Canis lupus familiaris: one gene and its partner. Each later gene encodes a partner of the first gene's protein in a complex. Links are inferred from orthologs where the notes say so. Each region holds a gene or a part of one and is shown in the gene's direction. Other genes may lie near its edges.

Region 1 (4,482 bases):
GAATCAGAATCAAACTGAGCAGCAGCAGCATGTCTAAAATGACAAAACTCAAAATATTATAAGAGATAAAAAAATTCTAATACTCTCCCAATTTAATCAAAGTAAACGGTTTCAGAAACGCAAGAATGAAGTCTGTTAAAATGGAAAGAACAATGGAATTAGACTTGATTTAAACACCTACACTTCATAGCAGTGTAGTGTAGGGCAAACTTCTTAATCTCCCCGAGCCCTAAATTTCTTCATTGTAGGGTGCATTTATGTGACATGTACTGACTACCAGGGCCGGGACTGTACTAGGTAGGTGCTATGGATACAACTCACTTTTCATATAACAACAAATACTATGATGACATCTACTGAATGTCAATAGATTTCCTATGTGCCAAGTACTATTATAAAGCCTTTCAACTGGGCAGCCCGAGTGGCTCAGCGGTTTAGCGCCGCTTTCAGCCCAGGGCCTGATCCTGGAGTCCTGGGATCGAGTCCCATGTTGGGCTCCCTGCATGGGGCCTGCTTCTCCCTCTGCCTGTGTCTCTGCCTCTCTCTCTCTCTGTGTCTCTCATGAATAAATAAATAATATATTAAAAAAATAAAGCCTTTCAACTAATTCCATCTTCATTTAATCCTTCTCAACCTAAAACGTAGGTACTGTTGTTGTCATTTACATTTATACAAGAGGTACAAAGAGGTTAAGATATCTAGGCCAGGATCAAACACGCGTTAGGCGTTCAGCGGGGATGTTTCTTGGCGGGGGACAATTCTTACGTGTGCAAGGTGGAGGTGGAAGCTTTCCACAACGAAGGGCCAGTTTTAGTTCACTCGTCCACAGAACAGGGACTGAAATAGTACTACTACCTCTCGGGGTTTGGGCCTGCTATTTATTTATTTGATTTGATTTTTATTTATTTACCTCTTGGGGTTTGGGCCTGCTATTTATTTATTTATTTATTTATTTATTTATTTATTAGATTTTTATTTATTTACCTCTTGGGGTTTGGGCCTATTTATTTATTTATTAGATTTTTATTTATTTACTCATGAGAGACACAGAGGGAGAAGCAGGCTCCCTCCGGGGAGCCCCATGCAGGACTCGATCCCGGGACCCCGGGGTCACAACCTGAGCTAAAGGCAGATGCTCAACCCCGGAGCCACCCAGGTTCCCCGGGGTTGGGCCGCCTTTTAAATGAAAATAGTATATTTAAGAGTAAACAGTGTGTCTGGAGCATGGGAATCCGTAAATCAATACTATTAATTAAATTTGCATTCCGTTATGTGGTATCACTATGGCGAAGCACAGGCAATTCTTTTCAAAGCTCTAGATAATGCTGCAAAGCGCCTTCGCAAAGTTTACACCGCTACCAAGAACCGAAGAGCTTTCTACCTGCTTTCTCTTACGATATATACGGTAGGGCCACTCTCTTTGATTACTCTGTCCAGTTTTGGACAATCTCACCTGTTCCCTCTGTCAAGCTCGCTATCCTCCCCCATTTTACGTCGCCACCTCCGTCACAAACGAAGTTCTCCGAGGAACCGCCGAGGGGCGCGTGGGCGGGCGCCTCCTCCCGCCACAACAGTTGCCTGGCCACCTCGTCCACCACGCGACGACTCAGCGCAGCTCTCGCGGGAGGAGACGCGGTTTCCAACGAGACCTTCTAACCCCACCCAACCCTCTAAGGGTCACGTGACTGGCGCCTGCGTCCTCGACTCGAGGTCTTTCCTGGTCTCCTACTGGCTGTTAACTCGGCTACAGGCCGTCGCGAGGCCCATTCCGGAAGTAGCCCCTTTATCTAGCATTCTTTTGCGGAAGCCTGTTACAACCCAGCCGGCCACCTTTCAGCGGAAGTTCGTCACGTCGCAGTTGCCCCCGCACAGCGGATGTGTGTCGCCGCTTAGGTGACGCTGGGAAGTGCTTGCAGCCTCCGCCGCTGCCTTCTGGTTGAAGCACTATGGAGGGAGAGAGGAAGAACAACAACAAACGGTGGTATTTTAGTCGAGAACAGCTGGAAAATAGCCCATCCCGTCGTTTTGGCCTGGACCCAGATAAAGAACTTTCTTATCGCCAGCAGGCGGCCAATCTGCTCCAGGACATGGGACAACGTCTTAACGTGTATCCTTGCGGCCTAGGCCTCCGGCCTTGGAGTCAGACCCGCCTTGCTCGGGCGTCCGGGCTCCAGGCTCTGTCAGAGACGGTAGAGGAAAGAGGGGGGACGGGGGCTGAATGTCTGGGTGGAGGAGCCCACGGTGGGGCGGGCTGAAAGTCAGTGTTTGCGCCCGAGAAGCGAGGCGGAGTTAATTTCCCGCTCGCTCACCAGGGCCACCAGCCTTGCTGGGAACTCGTATCCTTCGCAGCTTTGTATTTGAACCAGCCCTTCGTAGTTTCCTTTCGTTGTGTTCTGTTCTCTTAGTCTGGTGACTTAAGAGATTTTACTTTCCCGCTATGCCCTAGGGGTTTGGAGGAGGTTTCGCTGTGGATGGCCGCCTCTTGAACTTTAGTGTGTAAAGAGAGTTTGAGAAATTCAAGACCTGGAAAGTCTTCGAAAGACAGAGGGTGGCCCAGAACTAACGCCCCAGCTTTGATTCAAAATCCGTTCCTTCCGCTTAGGAACTGTTTAAGAAACCTGTCGAATTCTTGGTTTTCTCGTCTGTAAAATGGAGTCCTGCCCCCTTGCATCTAGTTTTTAATGCCTAACAAAATGTGTGGCACTCGTGTTCAAACGGTAGTTATTGTTAAAGTTTTAGAATTTCAGAGGAAGGAAGGATGTCAGTTTCTATTTGTAAGGATATAGACCCAGGGATCTAATGTTTTAAAAGACCATTTACAGAATGTGGAGTTTTTAATGTACTCAGTTCTAATGTGTATTTGTTTTTTTTTAATATTCCAAAGATCAAGTTATTAATTTATTTTTAAAGATTTTATTTATTTATTCATGAGACACACACACAGAGGCAGACACACAGGCAGAGGGAGAAGCAGGCTCCATGCAGGGAGCCCGATGCGGGACTCGATCCCGGGTCCCCAGGATCACACCCCGGGCCGAAGGCGGCGCTAAACCGCTGAGCCACCCCGGGCTGCCCAAGATCAAGTAATTTAGTGATTTTTTTTTCCCCCCTCAAGTATTTTTGTCAGAAAATATACTCATTTCCTAGCAGAGAAAGCTTATGTAGTTATAAACTTCTTTGCGCTCGGGAAGTGGGGAATTATTTCTGAGTGCAGCTTCTGTTTAAGTGTGTCGCTGGCTGTAATGTTTGTTGTGTCTTAAAGTGTTTGCTCGCTTCAAAAGAAGTGTTCTCTTTATTGTGGATATCCAGTTTGTTTCCTAAGCATCCGGTTAGTACTGAGTTGAGCTTTTGTTTGAAATTGTTTCAGTATGTCTAGCCCTTTTTTCTGTGTGTGTTATTAAGGTTGTTGACATCTTGGGACCACGGCCTCTTCTGATAACCCGCGTTCTCTTCTGAGGTTTTTAGAAGTAAGACATTTAAAATTTTTTCTTGTTAGTGAATGAGTATATCAAATCTTTCCGCAGTGTTCCTGTTCCCAGGGATCACCGAATGGGAAGGCTTAGTCTCCACAGACAAGTGGGACTGAAAAAGCTCATTTCTGGACCTTAGAAAGTGAGGATATAGTGGAGACATACCTAGGAGCTGGATTAGGGAGGGCATTGTAAGTCATGTGAAGAGATACCCTGAGCTAATGGATCACCACTGCAGGACTTTCAGGAGGCAAATGACAGGTTTAGGTCTACATAATTTTCTTATATTCCTTGATCCACACGTGTTAAGAAGCTTGCTTATCAATTCAGATTTACATATTGAAAACTGGTTGTGTGTAGGGCATTATATTGTGTCAATTGGTGTTTAATAATTGATGAAAGAAAACAGATTTGCTCTTTAATTTGGAAAATTAAGTATGATTTTCATTTAGAAGCACATACTGGGGCAGCCCGGGTGGCTCGGCGGTTTAGCGCCGCCTTCAGCCCAGGGCCTGATCCTGGAGACCCCGGATCGAGTCCTACGTCGGGCTGGAGTCCAACGTCGGGCTCCTTGCATGGAGCCTGCTTCTCCCTTTGCCTGTGTCTCTGCCCCCCCCCCCCCCCCCCCCCCGTCTCATGAATAAATAAATAAAATCTTAAAAAACAAAAAAAGGAAGCACATACTATGTTTGTCTTGCTTGGTCCTTTTGGGAGGATAGGGAGGTTATATATTTGGGGGTTGTACTGCTGTCTGTTTTGGAGCCTTAACTTTAGGATTTTAGCTCACAATTGACTATCAACACTGCTATAGTATACATGCATCGATTCTACATGATTCAGTCCTTTACACAGTTCCATCGAAACGTAAGTATTTTTTTGTATGGTATAATCTTTTTGTAATCAATTGCAACAACTTGTGTGTGTGTGGGGGTGGGGTGGTGAGGGTGGAGTTGATCTTTGTTGCTGAACTGGGATTTGAAGTTTAGAATTTAGGATTGATCACTTTCATTAT
Region 2 (4,102 bases), on another chromosome or scaffold:
TCACAGCGCTGTCACTCTGTGACCTTGGGCAAATGACCTCACCACTCTGAACCTCAATGCCCTCTTCTGTAAAATGGGCTAGTTAACCTGCCCATGGGGCGCCTGATTGAGGATTCAGCAGGATTCAGCAGGAATGCCCAGCGATTCCTGAACACACAGGAGTTCTGAGCAAATGCTAGCCATTTTTGTGATTACTGACCCGGGACTGACCCGCTCGGACGCAGCTGGGTGGGCATAGGGCTCCCGCGGGTCTCATCCCTTCCTCCCAGAAAATTGGGGGTCCAGGGCAGGAAGGCCCGGGCGTTGCTCGCTCGCCGTCTCCAGTGTCGCCGCGCCCCCTAGCGGCCGTCGGTTGCCATGTCAACGGCGGGCGGCTGGGGCCTGGGGAGGCGGCGGCGGGGGCCGTTCTCTCCTCCCAGGACCGGAGGCCGCTCCCTCGGCGCCTCCCGCCTTTCCCAGCGGAGGGGCACTCCGAGCCGGGGAGAGGGCTCTCCGCGGCAGCTAGCATGGGGGGGTAAACTGAGGCACGCGACAAAGCGCTCCGCAGCCAGGTGTCGAGCTCGGGGCCCCACCTCCGAAGGCGGAGGAGGGGCCGCGGGCGGTGACGCGCCGAGGGCGGCCGGCGGACAGCGGGCGGCGGCGGCGGCGGCGGCGGCGGCGGCGGCGGCGGCGGCGGCAGGTGCGGCCGCGGAGGGTGGGAGGGAGGAGGGAGGGGGGCGGGCGGAGGGGGAGGGGAGGGCGAGGCCAGGGCACCTCCCCCTTTATAACGCGCCCCCTCCCGGGCTCTCGGGCCACCTCCTCGTCGGCTCTTCCCATCTCGCCCCCTTGCCCGGCCGCCCCGGGCCCGGGCCCGGCCAGGGAGACCCCAGGCCGCGGCTCGGGGGCCACCCCCCCGCTCGCCGCCCCGCGCAGCCCGGCGGAGGCGGCGCCGTCGGAGGAGGAGGAGCAGGGCACTGCGGCTGGCCCCGGATCGGGCGCCAGAGCGGCAGCGGCTCCGGCAGCAGCGGCGGCCCGGGCCGATGCAGCGGGACGCACCGCCCCGAGCCCCAGCCCCGGCGCCCCGGCTCCCCGCGCCCCCGATCGGGGCAGCCGCCAACAGTGGCGGCGGCGGAGGCGGGGGCAGCGGCGGCGGCGGAGGCGCCTCTGCAGCTCCGGCTGCTCCTGGCCTCCCGGGAACTACAAGTCCCAGGGGGCCTGGCGGCGGGCGGCGGACGGAAGAGGCGGGGTCGGCGCCGCGAGGCCGGAAGTGGCCGTGGAGGCGGAAGTGGCGCGGCCGCGGAGGGGCCTGGAGCACGGCGGCGGGACCCGGAGCGGGAGCAGCGGCGGCGGCGGCGGCTGGGGGCGGCGGCGGCGGCGCGCTGGAGGCGGCCATGGCAAAGCAGTACGACTCGGTGGAGTGTCCCTTTTGTGATGAGGTGTCCAAATATGAGAAGCTCGCTAAGATCGGCCAAGGCACCTTCGGGTAAGGCTGCGCCCCCGGGGGACCAGGCGCTCTGGGCCTGCACCGCTCAAATCCGACGTCACGATGCCCAGGGCCGGGCCCGAGGTGGTCGGGAAGGCCATGAGCGCCAGACGTGTCCCCTGGTTTTGCTAGGCCGCGCTGCGGCCCGCCTGGGCCTGACCGAGCCGGCTGGCGGGGAGGAGCCTGAGGCCTGTGATGGGGGGCGGGGAGGGGTTACGGAGAGGAGCCAGTGGTGGGAGCGGGCTCTCCGAGAGACGCCTGAGTGAGGAGACTGAGGGGAGGAAGTAGAGGCTCGAAGCTCCGCAGATAGCGGGTGGCAAGGTAGGGCAGTGCCCTGGGTCCCCGGCCCAGCCCCGCCCGGGGAATCCCTTTTTTCTGCCCCCCTCCTCTGGTGGGGGAGGGGCGGGCCCTGCAGAAACGGCCTGATAAAACCTCTTGGGTCTCCCTCTCGGCCTGCAGGGAGGTATTTAAGGCAAAGCACCGTAAGACCGGCAAAAAGGTGGCTCTGAAGAAAGTGCTGATGGAGAACGAGAAGGAGGGGGTGAGTATGGGCCGGGTGGGCGGGCCTGCCAGCTCCCCTGGGCTCGGGGTTGGGTTTCCACCCTGCTTCTGCTAGGGCTCTCGTCTGGAGAACCTGTGTGTCTGTGTGTTGGGGGGGGGGGGGTAGTTAGGCAATTTCCGTATTCGGGGAATTTGGCTTCCAAATTGAATTTTTTAATTCAAATGTTTTAGAGCTTTTGATATCCCACTCTTAGGTAAATACGGTTGGGGCCAGGAGGGGGAGCTCATGCCTGCAGAGTGTGCCTTAGTTCCTGAAGTTAGGAAGCCTTTAAACACGGTTTCCTTAGCATTCATTTTGCATAAGGCGGAAAGAAATTCCACTTGGTGGTTTTAAGGGAGTGGCTGGTACTCAGTTGAAAAGGAGCAGTCCCCTCCCTTGCCTCATTGTAGCCCTAGTCCAGCTTCCCAGAGACCTGCTTAGCAAGGACATTTCCTTAAATAGCTGTTTGTTTCCACCTAGTAAGTTAAATACAGGTATAGAGCTAAAACTTAAATATTGAAGAAACTGTGGAACATTTATTTAGTGACGAGTAGTGAAGTGTGTAGGTATTAAGTCCCACTGTTTCAGTTCATTGTCTCAGAGCAACTCATTGAGGGGCACATACTATTTTTACACCCATTTTACAGCTAAGACATCTGAAATGATGTCAGAGCCCGGGACCTTACTCGTTTGCTGCACCTGTGCCCCTTGATCTGGACCACACGGTTGTTCATTGGTCTGTTCATTGGTCTATAGTTGACTCGCTCACCTCAGGCCCCCTCTTGCCTTTCTCCTACCCAGTTCCCCATTACGGCTTTGCGGGAAATCAAGATCCTCCAGCTTCTGAAACACGAGAATGTGGTCAACTTAATTGAGATCTGTCGAACCAAAGGTAGGTTCTTTGGCTCCTGCCCCCCTTTACAGATGGGGAAAATGAGGCTTACTGCCTAAGGCTTTGCAAAGTTGGAAGTGGACACACCTAAATTGCCTCTTCTTAACCCAGACAAACCGACTGTGACTGCTCTTGGGTCCTTCCATCGTAGCTGTTGCTCCTCGAGGGCCTGCCACAGCACCCAGCCCAGAGGAGGCACTCAGGAAATAGTTTTCCAGTGAAGGAAGGCACAGCCGAATATCCCAGTGTCCACGGGCTGGAGGGGTAGAAGCTGTGTGGGGAAATGAGTTGCACGTGGGGTTTTTTACTTTCTTTTTCTTACTCCTCCCCCATTCTTCCCTCCCAGCTTCCCCCTATAACCGCTGCAAAGGCAGTATATACCTAGTGTTTGACTTCTGCGAGCACGATCTTGCTGGGCTGCTGAGCAATGTCTTGGTCAAGTTCACACTGTCTGAGATCAAGAAGGTCATGCAGATGTTGCTCAACGGCCTCTACTATATCCACAGAAACAAGGTGGGGGTCAGCATGGGGTAAGAGAGACCCGGGCTGGGGTGGGCCTCGGCTCCCACCGCTGGGTGGGTGCGACTGAGGGTTCCCCTTGGAAACCTGATTGAGCCCTCTTGCGCTTCCTGCAGATCCTGCACAGGGACATGAAGGCAGCTAATGTGCTCATCACTCGCGATGGGGTTCTGAAGCTGGCCGACTTTGGGCTGGCCCGGGCCTTCAGCCTGGCCAAGAACAGCCAGCCCAATCGCTATACCAACCGTGTGGTGACGCTCTGGTACCGGCCTCCGGAGCTGTTGCTCGGTGAGGACTCCCGAGCGGGCGGAGTGGGGCAGGGGCTGGGCACTTACCCGGCCTCAGTCCCCCACTGCCAGGGCTTCTTGAGCCGCCGGCCCTGGGGCATTGCGTCTCAGGAGGCCCTCGGGCTCAAGGGGCCCTCCTGGTGCGCTCTTCTTCCCAGGGGAGCGGGACTACGGCCCCCCCATTGACCTGTGGGGTGCTGGGTGCATCATGGCCGAGATGTGGACCCGCAGCCCTATCATGCAGGGCAACACCGAGCAACACCAGCTTGCCCTCATCAGCCAGCTCTGTGGCTCCATCACCCCTGAGGTGCGTGGCCAGGCTGCCTGGGCCCCTGGTCCCCACAGGACGCAGAGATCCAGAAGTCCTCCTGGCAAGGGAGGAGTGGGGAGTGAAATAGCAG

The links. Proteins that work in one complex are often made in the same cells at the same time.
Region 2: the proteins of CCNT1 (region 1) and CDK9 are in contact, whole or in part, in a crystal structure (PDB 3BLH), measured with the Homo sapiens proteins. The link is inferred for Canis lupus familiaris from reciprocal best matches to the Homo sapiens genes CCNT1 and CDK9. Residues at the interface, in NP_001231.2 of Homo sapiens: Arg5, Lys6, Arg11, Trp12, Arg26, Ile72, Gln73, Phe78, Phe89, Leu90, Lys93, Val94, Pro98, Lys99, Lys100, Leu101, Val134, Glu137, Ile139, Leu141, Gln142, Thr143, Gly145, Phe146, Glu147, Leu148, Thr149; in NP_001252.1 of Homo sapiens: Val8, Glu9, Cys10, Pro11, Phe12, Cys13, Lys56, Glu57, Gly58, Phe59, Ile61, Leu64, Ile67, Lys68, Gln71, Leu72, Leu81, Ile82, Glu83, Ile84, Arg86, Ile99.

The regions. Positions count from the first base shown.
Region 1 is NC_049248.1:40,858,535-40,863,016, reverse strand, and holds the start of CCNT1 (cyclin-T1), read left to right. Parts: upstream 1-1,566; 5' UTR 1,567-1,946; coding exon 1,947-2,107; intron 2,108-4,252; coding exon 4,253-4,334; intron 4,335-4,482. UniProt on the Homo sapiens protein: Regulatory subunit of the cyclin-dependent kinase pair (CDK9/cyclin-T1) complex, also called positive transcription elongation factor B (P-TEFb), which facilitates the transition from abortive to productive elongation by phosphorylating the CTD (C-terminal domain) of the large subunit of RNA polymerase II (RNA Pol II).
Region 2 is NC_049230.1:55,704,457-55,708,558, reverse strand, and holds the start of CDK9 (cyclin-dependent kinase 9), read left to right. Parts: upstream 1-1,302; 5' UTR 1,303-1,370; coding exon 1,371-1,462; intron 1,463-1,921; coding exon 1,922-2,003; intron 2,004-2,804; coding exon 2,805-2,895; intron 2,896-3,241; coding exon 3,242-3,408; intron 3,409-3,530; coding exon 3,531-3,702; intron 3,703-3,859; coding exon 3,860-4,008; intron 4,009-4,102. UniProt on the Homo sapiens protein: Protein kinase involved in the regulation of transcription.